Macaca fascicularis: one gene and its partners. The protein of the gene in region 2 purifies or fractionates together with the protein of the main gene of each other region. This does not show direct contact. Links are inferred from orthologs where the notes say so. Each region holds a gene or a part of one and is shown on either strand. Other genes may lie near its edges.

What was found. Proteins that work in one complex are often made in the same cells at the same time.
Region 1: the proteins of RAD1 (region 2) and HUS1B purify together in Homo sapiens (co-immunoprecipitation; 3 studies listed by BioGRID and IntAct, counting the BioPlex papers as one, with this or other methods). This does not show direct contact. The link is inferred for Macaca fascicularis from reciprocal best matches to the Homo sapiens genes RAD1 and HUS1B.
Region 3: the proteins of RAD1 (region 2) and FEN1 purify together in Homo sapiens (affinity purification with western blotting; 3 studies listed by BioGRID). This does not show direct contact. The link is inferred for Macaca fascicularis from reciprocal best matches to the Homo sapiens genes RAD1 and FEN1.

Annotation. Positions count from the first base shown.
Region 1 is NC_088378.1:172,426,043-172,429,174, forward strand, and holds HUS1B (checkpoint protein HUS1B), read left to right. Parts: upstream 1-1,256; 5' UTR 1,257-1,456; coding exon 1,457-2,308; 3' UTR 2,309-2,620; downstream 2,621-3,132.
Region 2 is NC_088380.1:35,205,535-35,209,098, reverse strand, and holds part of RAD1 (cell cycle checkpoint protein RAD1), read left to right. Parts: intron 1-752; coding exon of another isoform or gene 753-911; exon of another isoform or gene 912-939; intron 940-1,117; exon of another isoform or gene 1,118-1,234; intron 1,235-1,676; 5' UTR 1,677-1,756; coding exon 1,757-1,954; intron 1,955-3,087; coding exon 3,088-3,196; intron 3,197-3,564. Other genes in the region: BRIX1 (ribosome biogenesis protein BRX1 homolog), read right to left, coding at 753-911. UniProt on the Homo sapiens protein: Component of the 9-1-1 cell-cycle checkpoint response complex that plays a major role in DNA repair. The 9-1-1 complex is recruited to DNA lesion upon damage by the RAD17-replication factor C (RFC) clamp loader complex.
Region 3 is NC_088388.1:12,241,623-12,245,801, forward strand, and holds the start of FEN1 (flap endonuclease 1), read right to left. Parts: upstream 2,813-4,179; 5' UTR 2,694-2,812; intron 407-2,693; 5' UTR 386-406; coding exon 1-385. Other genes in the region: dolichyl-diphosphooligosaccharide--protein glycosyltransferase subunit TMEM258, read left to right, coding at 3,165-3,167. UniProt on the Homo sapiens protein: Structure-specific nuclease with 5'-flap endonuclease and 5'-3' exonuclease activities involved in DNA replication and repair.

The sequences.
Region 1 (3,132 bases), on a different chromosome or scaffold from region 2:
ATTCCCAGCAAAATTCCAGGAAGATTATTTTTAGACTCTGACAAAATATTTTAGAGTTCCTCTGGAGCAATATCTGTGAGAGAATGAGAGAAGTTCTGAAAGATTGTCCTATTCGATATTGAAATATAATATGGAAATTAAATCACTGGTACAGGTGCAAGATAGGGCAGTGGGAGAAAATATAGAGAGGGCCAGGAAACATTGAGACAAAAATGAGAATTTTTTGTCTAAAATAAAATTGACATTTCAGATTAGTGGAGAAGTGGATTGTTTAGTGAATTGTGTGTATCAGCTAGGTATTCGGTACTGCAAGATTTCAACTGAGTCAAACAACTAAGTCATAAAAACAGATAACATTAAAGTACCAGAAACAGGACTTTGAAAGCATGACCCTAGAAGTAGTAGAGAAGAGGTCAATAGGTTTGACATAAAAAAAGATTCAATATTTCCCAAGAGCAAAGAGTACCAAAAACAGTGTGAAAAGTCACATGATAAACTGGGGAAGATATTTACAGTACATGTAATGGACAGAGGGTTAATGTTCTTTCTAGATATCTTGAAATCAAGAAAAATAAACTCAATAAAAAGATGCGAAGGCCATAAAATGGAATTCACACACAGTGCAAGTTGAATTTTTTTTTTTTTTTTGCCTGCCAGAGTGCCACAGATGAAACAGATTGCTAATATCCAGTGTTGCTGGTGGGCTAGAGTGTTCACGCAGCTTTCTGCAGACCAGTTTGAAAATATTTATTAGGATTTTAAAAGTGCATTCATTGACCAGCACTTCACTTCGGAATTTAACGCAAGGAAATACTTGAGTAAATGGGCAAAACTATTTTGTACAAAAATATTCATTGTGTTCATAATAGCAAAAAATTGGAAATCATCTCAATGCCACTTGTATTCTAACTCTATACATTGGAAAACTGAGCAGCCATGAAAATGATGTAGATTTGTTTCACCAACATGGAGAGATGCCTGTTACATATTTAATGTGTGAAGATGAGGTTGTAAAATGTGTGCCTAGTATGCTATTATTTCGTACGACCCGTGGAACTATATCTTCATGTACGATTGATGAAGATGGTATCAGTGTGTATGCCATAGAGATTAAAAGTGGTTAATTTATCTGAGTGATGACTTTGTCTTCATAGTGGCGAGAATACTGAGGAGTGTCAGCAGTGGAATGCCTGCTCTTCTCATAACCGGAGCGGAAACGGAAGCGTTTTGTGAGAGGGCTGGCGGGCAGGTGAGAACGGCGTTGGCGCGCCCGCCCGGCGTCGGCTCCAGGCCTGGGGCTGCGGAAGCCAGAACAGAGCCCGGAACCCGAGTGCCTGCCCTGCTGGGGCCCGGAGGGAGGGCGGGGAGGGCAGCGCCGGGGACCCCAGCGGACCGGAAGGACTTGTGGCACGCGGCATTCCCCTCAGAGGCCCCGAGTTGCCTTCGCTGTGGCGTCATGAAGTTTCGCGCCAAGATCACCGGCAAGGGCCGTCTAGAGCTGTTCATCCACGTCAGCGGCACCGTCGCCAGGCTGGCGAAGGTCTGCGTGCTCCGCGTGCGCCCTGACAGCCTGTGCTTCGGCCCCGCGGGCTTCCGCGGCCTCCGTGAGGCCGGGCTGTGGTGCGAGGCCGGGCTGTGGTGCGAGGTGCGGCGGGGAGCCTTCCAGCAGTTTCACATGGAAGGTGTCTCGGAAGAGCTCGATGAGATCCACCTGGAGCTGACGGCGGAGCACCTGTCCAGGGCGGCGAGAAGCGCGGCGGGCGCGTCCTCCCTGAAGCTGCAGCTGACCCACAGGCGCCGCCCCTGCCTCACGGTGGCGGTGGCGCTGGCCTCGCCCCTGGGCCGCGCTCGCAGCGTGGTGCACGATCTGCCCGTGCAGGTGCTTCCCCGGAGAGCGTGGCGAGACTGCCCGCCGCCCAGCCTGCGCGCCGCCGACGCGAGCATCCACCTGCCGCGCTGGAGGACGCTGAGGAGCATCGTGGAGAGGATGGCGAACGTGGGCGATCACGTGCTGGTGGAAGCAAACCTCAGGGGCAGGATGACCCTGAGTATGGAGACGGAGGTGGTGTCCATTAAAAGTTACTTTAAAAATCTTGGAAACCCTCCGGAGTCGGCTGGTGTGCCTCCACACAGAGACCTGGAGAGCGTGGTGCAAGTGCGGGTAGATAATCGGAAGCTCCTGCAGTTTTTGGAGGGACAGCAAATAAATCCCACGATGGCCTTATGCAATATTTGGGACAATAGTCTTCTTCAGCTTGTTTTGGTTCAAGGAGATGTCTCTCTCCAGTATTTCATTCCTGCTTTGTAAAAATTCAGCCAGCGTAGATTTGTTTTTTTTAAGCTTATGATCTTTTCAAAACTGAAACAGACCCTGAGTTAATTGGGTTGAAAGTTTGCACCTTCTCTGACTTATACAGGGCGTATATTTTGTGGAGCCCTTCCTCCTTTGCAAAATTTGTATTAAAGCATTGATAAAACAGTTGGGTAGTTTATGTTTTTGTTTGTTGGGTTTGTCAGGTTTTTTTTCCTGCTTAAGATTCTAACAAGTAAATTATTCTTCAACTTTTTTTCGGGGGGAAAAACAGGGTTGTAATGAAATAAATATTTTTGAATCCTGAAACAATTGCATCAGTATTTTATTATAAAATGCTGCTGTGTAAAGCAGGAAAGTTCTCATTTTAAAATATGCATAAATGTTTTCCGAGGGTATTTCTTATGTAGAGAGCTGAATATATCTGCAAGATGAAAGGTATTTAGCGTGTGTGCGCATTACATATTCTTTGTTAAGCTGTGTTTTGTCATAGGATATATCAAAGAATGTATCAGTATACATGGTTTTGAGATTTATTATCTACATAGTTTGAATTGCTTATTTATTAGATTCATTTTTCACAATTTTTCACATGTATCATACTCACATTAGGAATCAAGGAAATATAGGCATATCTCAGAGATATTCCAAGTTTGGTTCCACACCACTGCAAAAAGCAAATATTGCAATAAAGACAGATGAGTTTTTGGATTTTCAGTACATATAAACCTTATGTTTGCATTACACTGTAGTCTGTTGAGAGTACAATAGTACTATGTCTAAAAAAGTACACATCTTAATTTTAAAATACTTCATTGGTA
Region 2 (3,564 bases):
TGAGTTCTCAGTTGAAGGAAATCTAGCTAATTCCAACTAACGTGCACTTCTTTTGAATAAAAACCATCAACTTATTTGAATTCTTAAGTTTCCTCCTAAACTCCAACATTTCAGGAGGAAGGGGTCACATGCTAGTCACCTTTGCAATCTCAAACCCAAAGGATGCCTAACTTGGTAAAATGCATGGCACATTCAATGTCTGTTGAATACAAGTAAAGCTCATAGTACCTAGCCTATTTTTCATTATCCCTTGAGTTGAAAACTGGTTAACAAATCAGAGTCACAGTCCTAAGGGCAACAACTTTTTAAAGGCTCACCTAACAAACTGTAGGATCCCTGACTGAGAGTGGCTGACTATGGCAGTATATGGGCATACTAATCACTGGAAGAAATACTCAACAGCGAGAAATAGCCAAGGAAAAGCCCTACTTTTCAAAAATATTTAAAAAACAAAACAAAACAAAACAACTCAACAACTACGAAGACAAAACGCTAGATCTGAGCACCCTGTAAGTCGCTTTCCCGTGGGCCGGGTAAAGATTTTAAAACCCGCCGCCTCCAGGAGGGCGGACACGTGCACAAGGATTAGCTGAAAACTCGGTGCCCAGTCTGGCTGGGAGGATTGCTAAAATCGACCTACCGTTAACACTCTGGCTACTCTGAAATTAGCAGAGCTGTAGTCAAGTAAGTAACCCAAGAAAAGGGGCACAGAGCCGCCGCCGCCGGTGTAGCCCGGGGGCATCCCCTTCTACCTTGCAAACGGGGCCTGGGATCCGGTCCCTCTCTTCTTCCTCCACCTCCTCTGCGGTGGTGTGCCGCTTAGTTGGCGGCGCGGCATCTTTTTCGTTTCTTTTTGGCTTCTTCGCCTGCACTGCCAAGCCTCCACGCCGTTTCCTCTTGGTTGCCGCCATCTTGCCTTACTGCCTGCGCTCTTGGCCTGTTTTCCGGCGTTGCCTCTCGCTCCTCTTTCCGATCTCTATGGTTCGGTGGCTCTAAGCGCTCAGCTACGCGGTTGTCCTCCAGGTCTGCGGTGTCTCCTTCCGGTCTCAGTGGCGCTGCACGCGCGGCTCTCTAGGCCTCCTTCAGCTCTGTGGTGACGGTGGCGGAAGTGGAGGGCAGGTCTGAAGAGTGGCGGGACCGGCTCCACTTCCTACGCGATTTCTCAGAGCTGTCTAGCTCCTCCTCAGGGACTTTCCTGGGAAGGTCTCTCGGGCGTCCAGACCCCACCGCAAAGGTAGGGTGTCCGCACTCGGGGACCCCGAGACTAATAAGCGATGCTGTCCCGCGGGCGGGCTGGTGAATGGGCTTGTGTGGGACTCTTGGGGGATCTTCTGGACACTCTGGGCGCTCCCCCCATCGCCTGTTCTCTTGGAAGCGAGGCTGGTGCCGCGGTCGGATTCATAGCTCCTGTTTGTTTGGCCGGGAGAAGCTGGCCCCAAGCGGAGATACCGTGTCAGTTGCGTGTCTTCATTCTTCACAACTTTTCACGTTATTGTCCTCTTACAGAGACGAGGAAATAGTAACTTAATTTTCCCGCAAAATTACAAAGACAATTAAGTGACATAGGTGGGGTTCGGCCTGGTCAGCTGAGTTCAGCCGCCCAGCCCCCGTCCACCTCTCAGCGCAGGTGGAGCTCGCCGGACCTCGCCTGCACTGATGTGAGTTTTATTGTCCAGTCCCTTCAGGTGTTTCGCGATTCGCCGAGCAGGTGTTGGCCCCAGGAGCATTTCCCTCCGGGCCGAATGCGCAGTGGACTATGCCCCTTCTGACCCAGCAGATCCAAGATGAGGATGATCAGTACAGCCTTGTGGCCAGCCTTGACAACGTTAGGAATCTCTCCACTATTTTGAAAGCTATTCATTTCCGAGAGCATGCCACGTGTTTCGCAACTAAAAATGGTATCAAAGTAACAGTGGAAAATGCAAAGTGTGTGCAAGCAAATGCTTTTATTCAGGTATGGAAGTAGGCGCCTTTAAGCCTGTGCCATAGATATTCTAAATGCAATTTAATGAAATCCGAAGGTTTTAGTAGACATAATAAATAACTTAATACTCATAATAACTTAATAGTCAATAGTCATAATAAATAATAGATAAATAACTTAATAGTCTTACGTTAGAGAACAAACGTCATTACTTGAATTTTTTTTTTCTCTCCCGGTAACAAATTCTTTTCCCATCTTGTTTTACAGAGATAATGGTTAGTAATGACTAAAGTTTATTAAACTAGACTATCGGCTAGGCTACAGTCTTCTTAGTGTTTAACTTATTTAATTTTAACAATAGTCCTATAAGGCAGGTTCTATTGTTATTCCCGTTTTATATATGTGGAAACGAGGCACAATTTTAAGTGATTTGCCAACAGTCCCACAGCTGGTAAGTGGCTGAATTGGGATAAGAACCCTGAACATTTGTTTCCAGAATATCTGCTCTTTTTACCACTGCGATACTACCACCTTGCTGTTACTAAAGAGTATTTTTTTCCCTTTACTGGTTGTAATAGAATTTTTGTTCTTCCAAAGTAATATTTGTGTGGTTCAGATAGGATTGCAAATTCAACTAAGCATTTTTTTTAACACGTAAGTGCACAGCATGACCTCAGGGATAGAGAGGTAAATAAGACATGGTTCTCGTCCTCGTGCGGCAACATGGTATAGTGGCTCACACCTGTATTTCCAGCTGCTCAGGAGACTGAGGCTGAGGCACGAAGATCGCTTGAACTCAGGCATTAAAGACCAGCCTGAGTAACCGTAGTGAGACCCCCGAATCAATAAAAAATAATAATAAAAGTTGTAACTAATATTGCTCATGCATTATCAAGTCATCCGTCTGTTTTCCAAGTGACCTTAGCAGTAGTGATACGCACAAAAACGAGATAAGGGAGAGTCCCAGAGGGATAGTTTTTAGATCCAGGAATGGATATAAGGATGCTTCAAAGGATGTCTCTAAGATGTTTTGATTGCTAATCAGAAATTATTCTCATGGGATTAGCACAGTATTGTATTTTTTAAACATATAAAGTGAAATCTAGGACCTTGTATATTTTCATTCTTTTACATAACAATTTTCATTTTTACTTTTTCCGTAGGCTGGAATATTTCAGGAATTTAAAGTTCAGGAAGAGTCTGTTACTTTTCGAATTAATTTAACTGTCCTTTTAGACTGTTTGTCTATTTTTGGATCAAGTCCTATGCCAGGTAAACTATTATCAGTATAAAGACATAAAAGTGTTATATACAGTGGTCAGAAAAATACAGGAAGTTATTTGGAATATAAACATTTGTTCAGAAAGCTAATGCCAATTCATTTTTCGGTGGCCACAGTCATGGGTTCTAACATTTCACAATGTTAATTGCAAGTATGTTTATAGTTCTTTCATATTTGTAAAAGTATTTACATTCATCTTTTTTTAATTTACAGGGCTTTGAGGGATTTTAAATTTGAACTGGCCAAAAGAATACTTTGGACATGTCTTTAATATCTTTAACATTGTGAAATGTTTTAATTGCTTCTCTTCCCTAACTTGTCCAGAATTACTCAGCTAGTTAGTGGCAGAGAAAAACGA
Region 3 (4,179 bases), on a different chromosome or scaffold from region 2:
GCTTAGTGAATTTTTCCACCTCCTGCTCGGCCCCAGCAGCCTGAGCCTGCTGCAGCTGCTTCTCTGCCTCAGCCCGCCGCTCACTGCGTTTCGCCAGCTCACCTGACTTGAGCTGTGGCGGCTTGCCATCAAAGACATACACGGGCTTGATGCCATTCTCCATCATGCGAATGGTGCGGTAGAACATGCCCATCAGGTGGCTGGTGGTCTCACCCTCCTCGTTCTGCAGCACATCCCCACCCTGACGAACAGCAATCAGGAACTGATAAATGCTCATAGAGGCATCAATGGCCACCTTACGGCCAAAGTAGCTCTTGATGTCATTCTCCCGGATGGCACTGGGGGCCACATCAGCAATTAGTTTGGCCAGGCCTTGAATTCCCATGGCAACACAGAGGAGGAATGACTAAAAAAGAAAGGCAAGTCAGAGACGGAGGAAAGGAGAAGGGTTATAATTGGTGTTATCTCACCAACTTCATGCCTTCAACTAAATTCCACACAACAAAAAGGACAAGTCAGCACTGCTAAAGACGAACAAGACAAAGTCCTCATTCTCAAAAAACTCAGTCTAGCAGAATTTACTCAATAGTAAGGCTTAATGAGTACCAGAAATAGAACCAGGTGCTTAGAGAAATAAGATATTGTTGATATTCTAAGGTAGCAGCATTATTTATTATACAAAAAAACCCTACAACATGGGTCTCTATCAAGGACCACAGAAGGCCAGGGTGCCCAGCCCAGCTTGAGGAGTCCAGGGACCATAATGGCAGACCTGAAAGGCAAATACCAGCTAAACAAATAGATCTGATTTGTTTTGAGTCTCTGGAGAACCCTGACTGATAAGGCAGTCTTGAAAAAGGATTGCAAACATATCTGAATGGAGGTGATGTGGCTTTCTCACAAGCTTCTCTAAACTCTCTTCATCATCGCCTCAGCACATAAGAGTTTCTACTTTTATTATGATGTTACTAGAGTTTCAAGTCTTTCCCTTTGCGTTTTCCCTCCACTACTCAGTCTGAAATGTTAACTCCATGGCTCCTCCCCAGGTCCTGATTTAGGGGTCTGGCATGCTATAGTCACTGGGCTCAAAAAAGTATTGCACTTCAGAGTTCAGTGTTTCCCAGATAGCAGTGTTTCCCAAATCACCCTCACGATTTTTGCCACTTCCAACTAAAACCTGTACTTTCATTCACTTAGAATTTTTTTTTAAAAACTAAACTGGAAAACTCATAAGCAATAATATTTGTGTTCTATTAGTTATATTTTAATATGTGTTAAATATATAACTATTAAAAAGGATTTTTAGGAGGTGCAATTTAAAATCATCTTGCCATCCTGGGCAACACGGTGAAACCCCCTCTCTACTAAAAATACAAAAAAAAAAAAAAATTAGCTGGGTGTTGTGGCGCACACCTGTAATCCCAGCTACTAGGGAGGCTGAAGCAGGAGAATCACTTGAACCCAGGGGGCACAGACTGCAGTGAGCCGAGATTGTGCCACTGCACTCCAGCCTAGTGACATAGTGAGACTCCGTCTCAAAAAATAAAAACTCATCCTGTACCCACTGGCGGTATGTGTCCAATACTCCAAGAAATATTCTACCAGGGCCAGGCAAAGAGGCGCTGGCCAGTAATCCCAGTACTTTGGGAGGCCATCATGGGAGAATCACATAAGCCTAGGAGTAACAAGCTGCAGTGAGCTATGATTGTGCCACCACACTCCAGCCTGGGCAACAGAGCAAGACCTTGTCAAGAAAAGAAGAAAAGACAAATCAAAACAAAAGAGAAAGAAGAAATGGAAGACTCCACCAGGACTTTTCATTGTTCCCATTCTTCCTTCACAGGGTTCTTTCTAGAGCATCAATGACTGTTCAATTCTTCCTTCTAATTCAGTCCAAACACTTCAGCATGGCGTCACGATCTTTCATGTTCTGGTTCCCAACCTAACCTTACATTCTGGGATCTCAACAGAAAGCTGGAATAAGGCCCGCCTTTTTCAACTTTTCCTTAGCTGTGCCCTCCTCTCGCCATCCTCTCACGCGTCCTTCCAGGTCCATCCCTGGATTATTAATCAATTAATAATTAATTGATAATGAATTATTCATTTGATTAATATGAATAATTCCCCTGTGAATTGCAACGGCGAAAGCTCTGGCCTTGAATCCAGGCGCGGCATTTTCCATCCGTGTGACATTACCAAGCCACTGAGGTTTATGAAGAACGATTACCATGATTGTCTCTCAGGGCTGCTACCAGGGTTAACTGAGACAACAGACGGAAACCCCTAATGTCCCCTCTCCAGGCCTGTTCAACCCTTCGGCTCTTGCGTCAAGCCGGCGGCCCTGCTGGAATGTTGACTGAGGACCAGGCCGTGTAGCCCTTGATCCCCTTGCGGCGTCCCACAGACAGGCAGGCAGGCAGGATAGGGGCTAAACAACTCAAGTGTCAGAACTCTTTCTCGTCCAAGGTCTTAGGAAAAATACAACACGACCCCATAAGGTGGAACTTATTACCGCCTTTCTACAATGGAGGAAAGAGAGGCTCGGAGCTTACGCGACTGGCCCACGGCTCACAGGGGGAAAAGTGGCCGGACCGCTTGACTGCATATCACGCGCACTCCACACCCCGGCTCCCCACGGCCCCAGCGCCAAGCGGACCCCGTCGCCCCCGGAGGCGCTTCCCATGGGGTCTCACCTGGCCTTTGAGACACGAGGCCTCGGCAGCTAAAGCTTTGTTCGGGGTTGGCCCGGGCAGGCGGTTCCTAAACCTGATCTCCCTCCTCAGCTTAGCGGCGGGTCGCCTGACGCTCAACCGCCTTCCAAAGCCCGCGCTCCCATCACGTGACCTGCCCGCCACGCACAGCCTCTTGGGGAGTGTAGTGCAGGCTGCGTCCCCTCAGACGGCTACTCTCATGGCAACCAGTCCCTCCAGGGAGAACAGAGTCTCTCAGCGACCGTGGCGTACTCTTCTCCACCGCTTGTCCCTACTCCACCCACACCAAGTCCCCGCAGGCCCCTGCTCCCGCTACACCCGAAATCGCAGGACTACAAGTCCCCCAATGCCACTTGCGCCGGAGGCACTTCCTTTTCCGGTTGTGCTAGGCGCCTGCTCCTGCGGACGTGTGCTTCCGGTGGCAGAGCGGCGGATTAGCCTGCGCGGGGCAAAATGGTGAGAGGGTTAAGGGGAGTTCCCGACGGAGATGCGAGGACCCCTCGGGGTCTGACCCACACCGCGCTTCTCTCCTCAGACGCCAGAGATCCAGAGGGCTAGACGCTCCTGGAAACTCCGTCTTGGGCTGAAGGGTGGGGAAGGGGGAAACCCCTTGTCATGAACTCCTTAGGAGTTCATGGTTTCTTAGGTTTCTGAGCTCGCGATTTGTAAGAATGAGAGGCGTGGGGCGTATTTTGAATACCTTCCAGTTTGTATCTGTTATCTGTGGTGTGTTATCTTTATCTGGAAAGTTCTTCTGCCGAACCCGTGCCCATGCTACAATGCCCTGGGCAAATGTTGTTTCTTGGTGAGGCACTTCCAACTCTGAGGCACTTGGCCAGACTCTCCTAGGAGCGCCCACAGCCTCTGTACACGTTCCATGGACTCCTTTGTTTGCGGCCGCGCCTCCTAGTGACCACCGTCTGACGCGCATCTAGCTCTGGGATGATGTCTATTCATCTTTGTGTTCCCAGTGCCAAACAGAGGGGCTGTAATTGGAAGCTCAATAAATGGCAGTGATTGTCTTTATCATTTTGGGGGAAGGGGGCCGTGATTGTTTACTGAATTGAATTCCAGTGTCTCAGAACAATGGGGGCAGTTTACTTCTCTAGAGTTGTTATGTTCTGGATTTTAGAAGCGTTGGCTGACGGGTGACAATGAAGTTAACATTTGTACAGATCTTTACGTTTACAGCCCTCTTTCATAGGCGTTATGTCATCATGTTCCCTACAACCTTAGGAAGGAAGCAAATACCTATGGAGCAAAATCCTCCCTGCCAGGCACTAGAGTTTTGATTCATCATCTTTCTTATACATCAGTCCTGTGAAATAGATAATACAATCACTTTACTCAGACTCAGATTACTCAGTAGAACCAGAACTTGAATGCCTTCCCTGTAGATCACAAGATTCCGTAATAGTATAGGTAGTGAGGAAAATACTGAATTAGAAATTGAGGGCCAGGCTCGGTG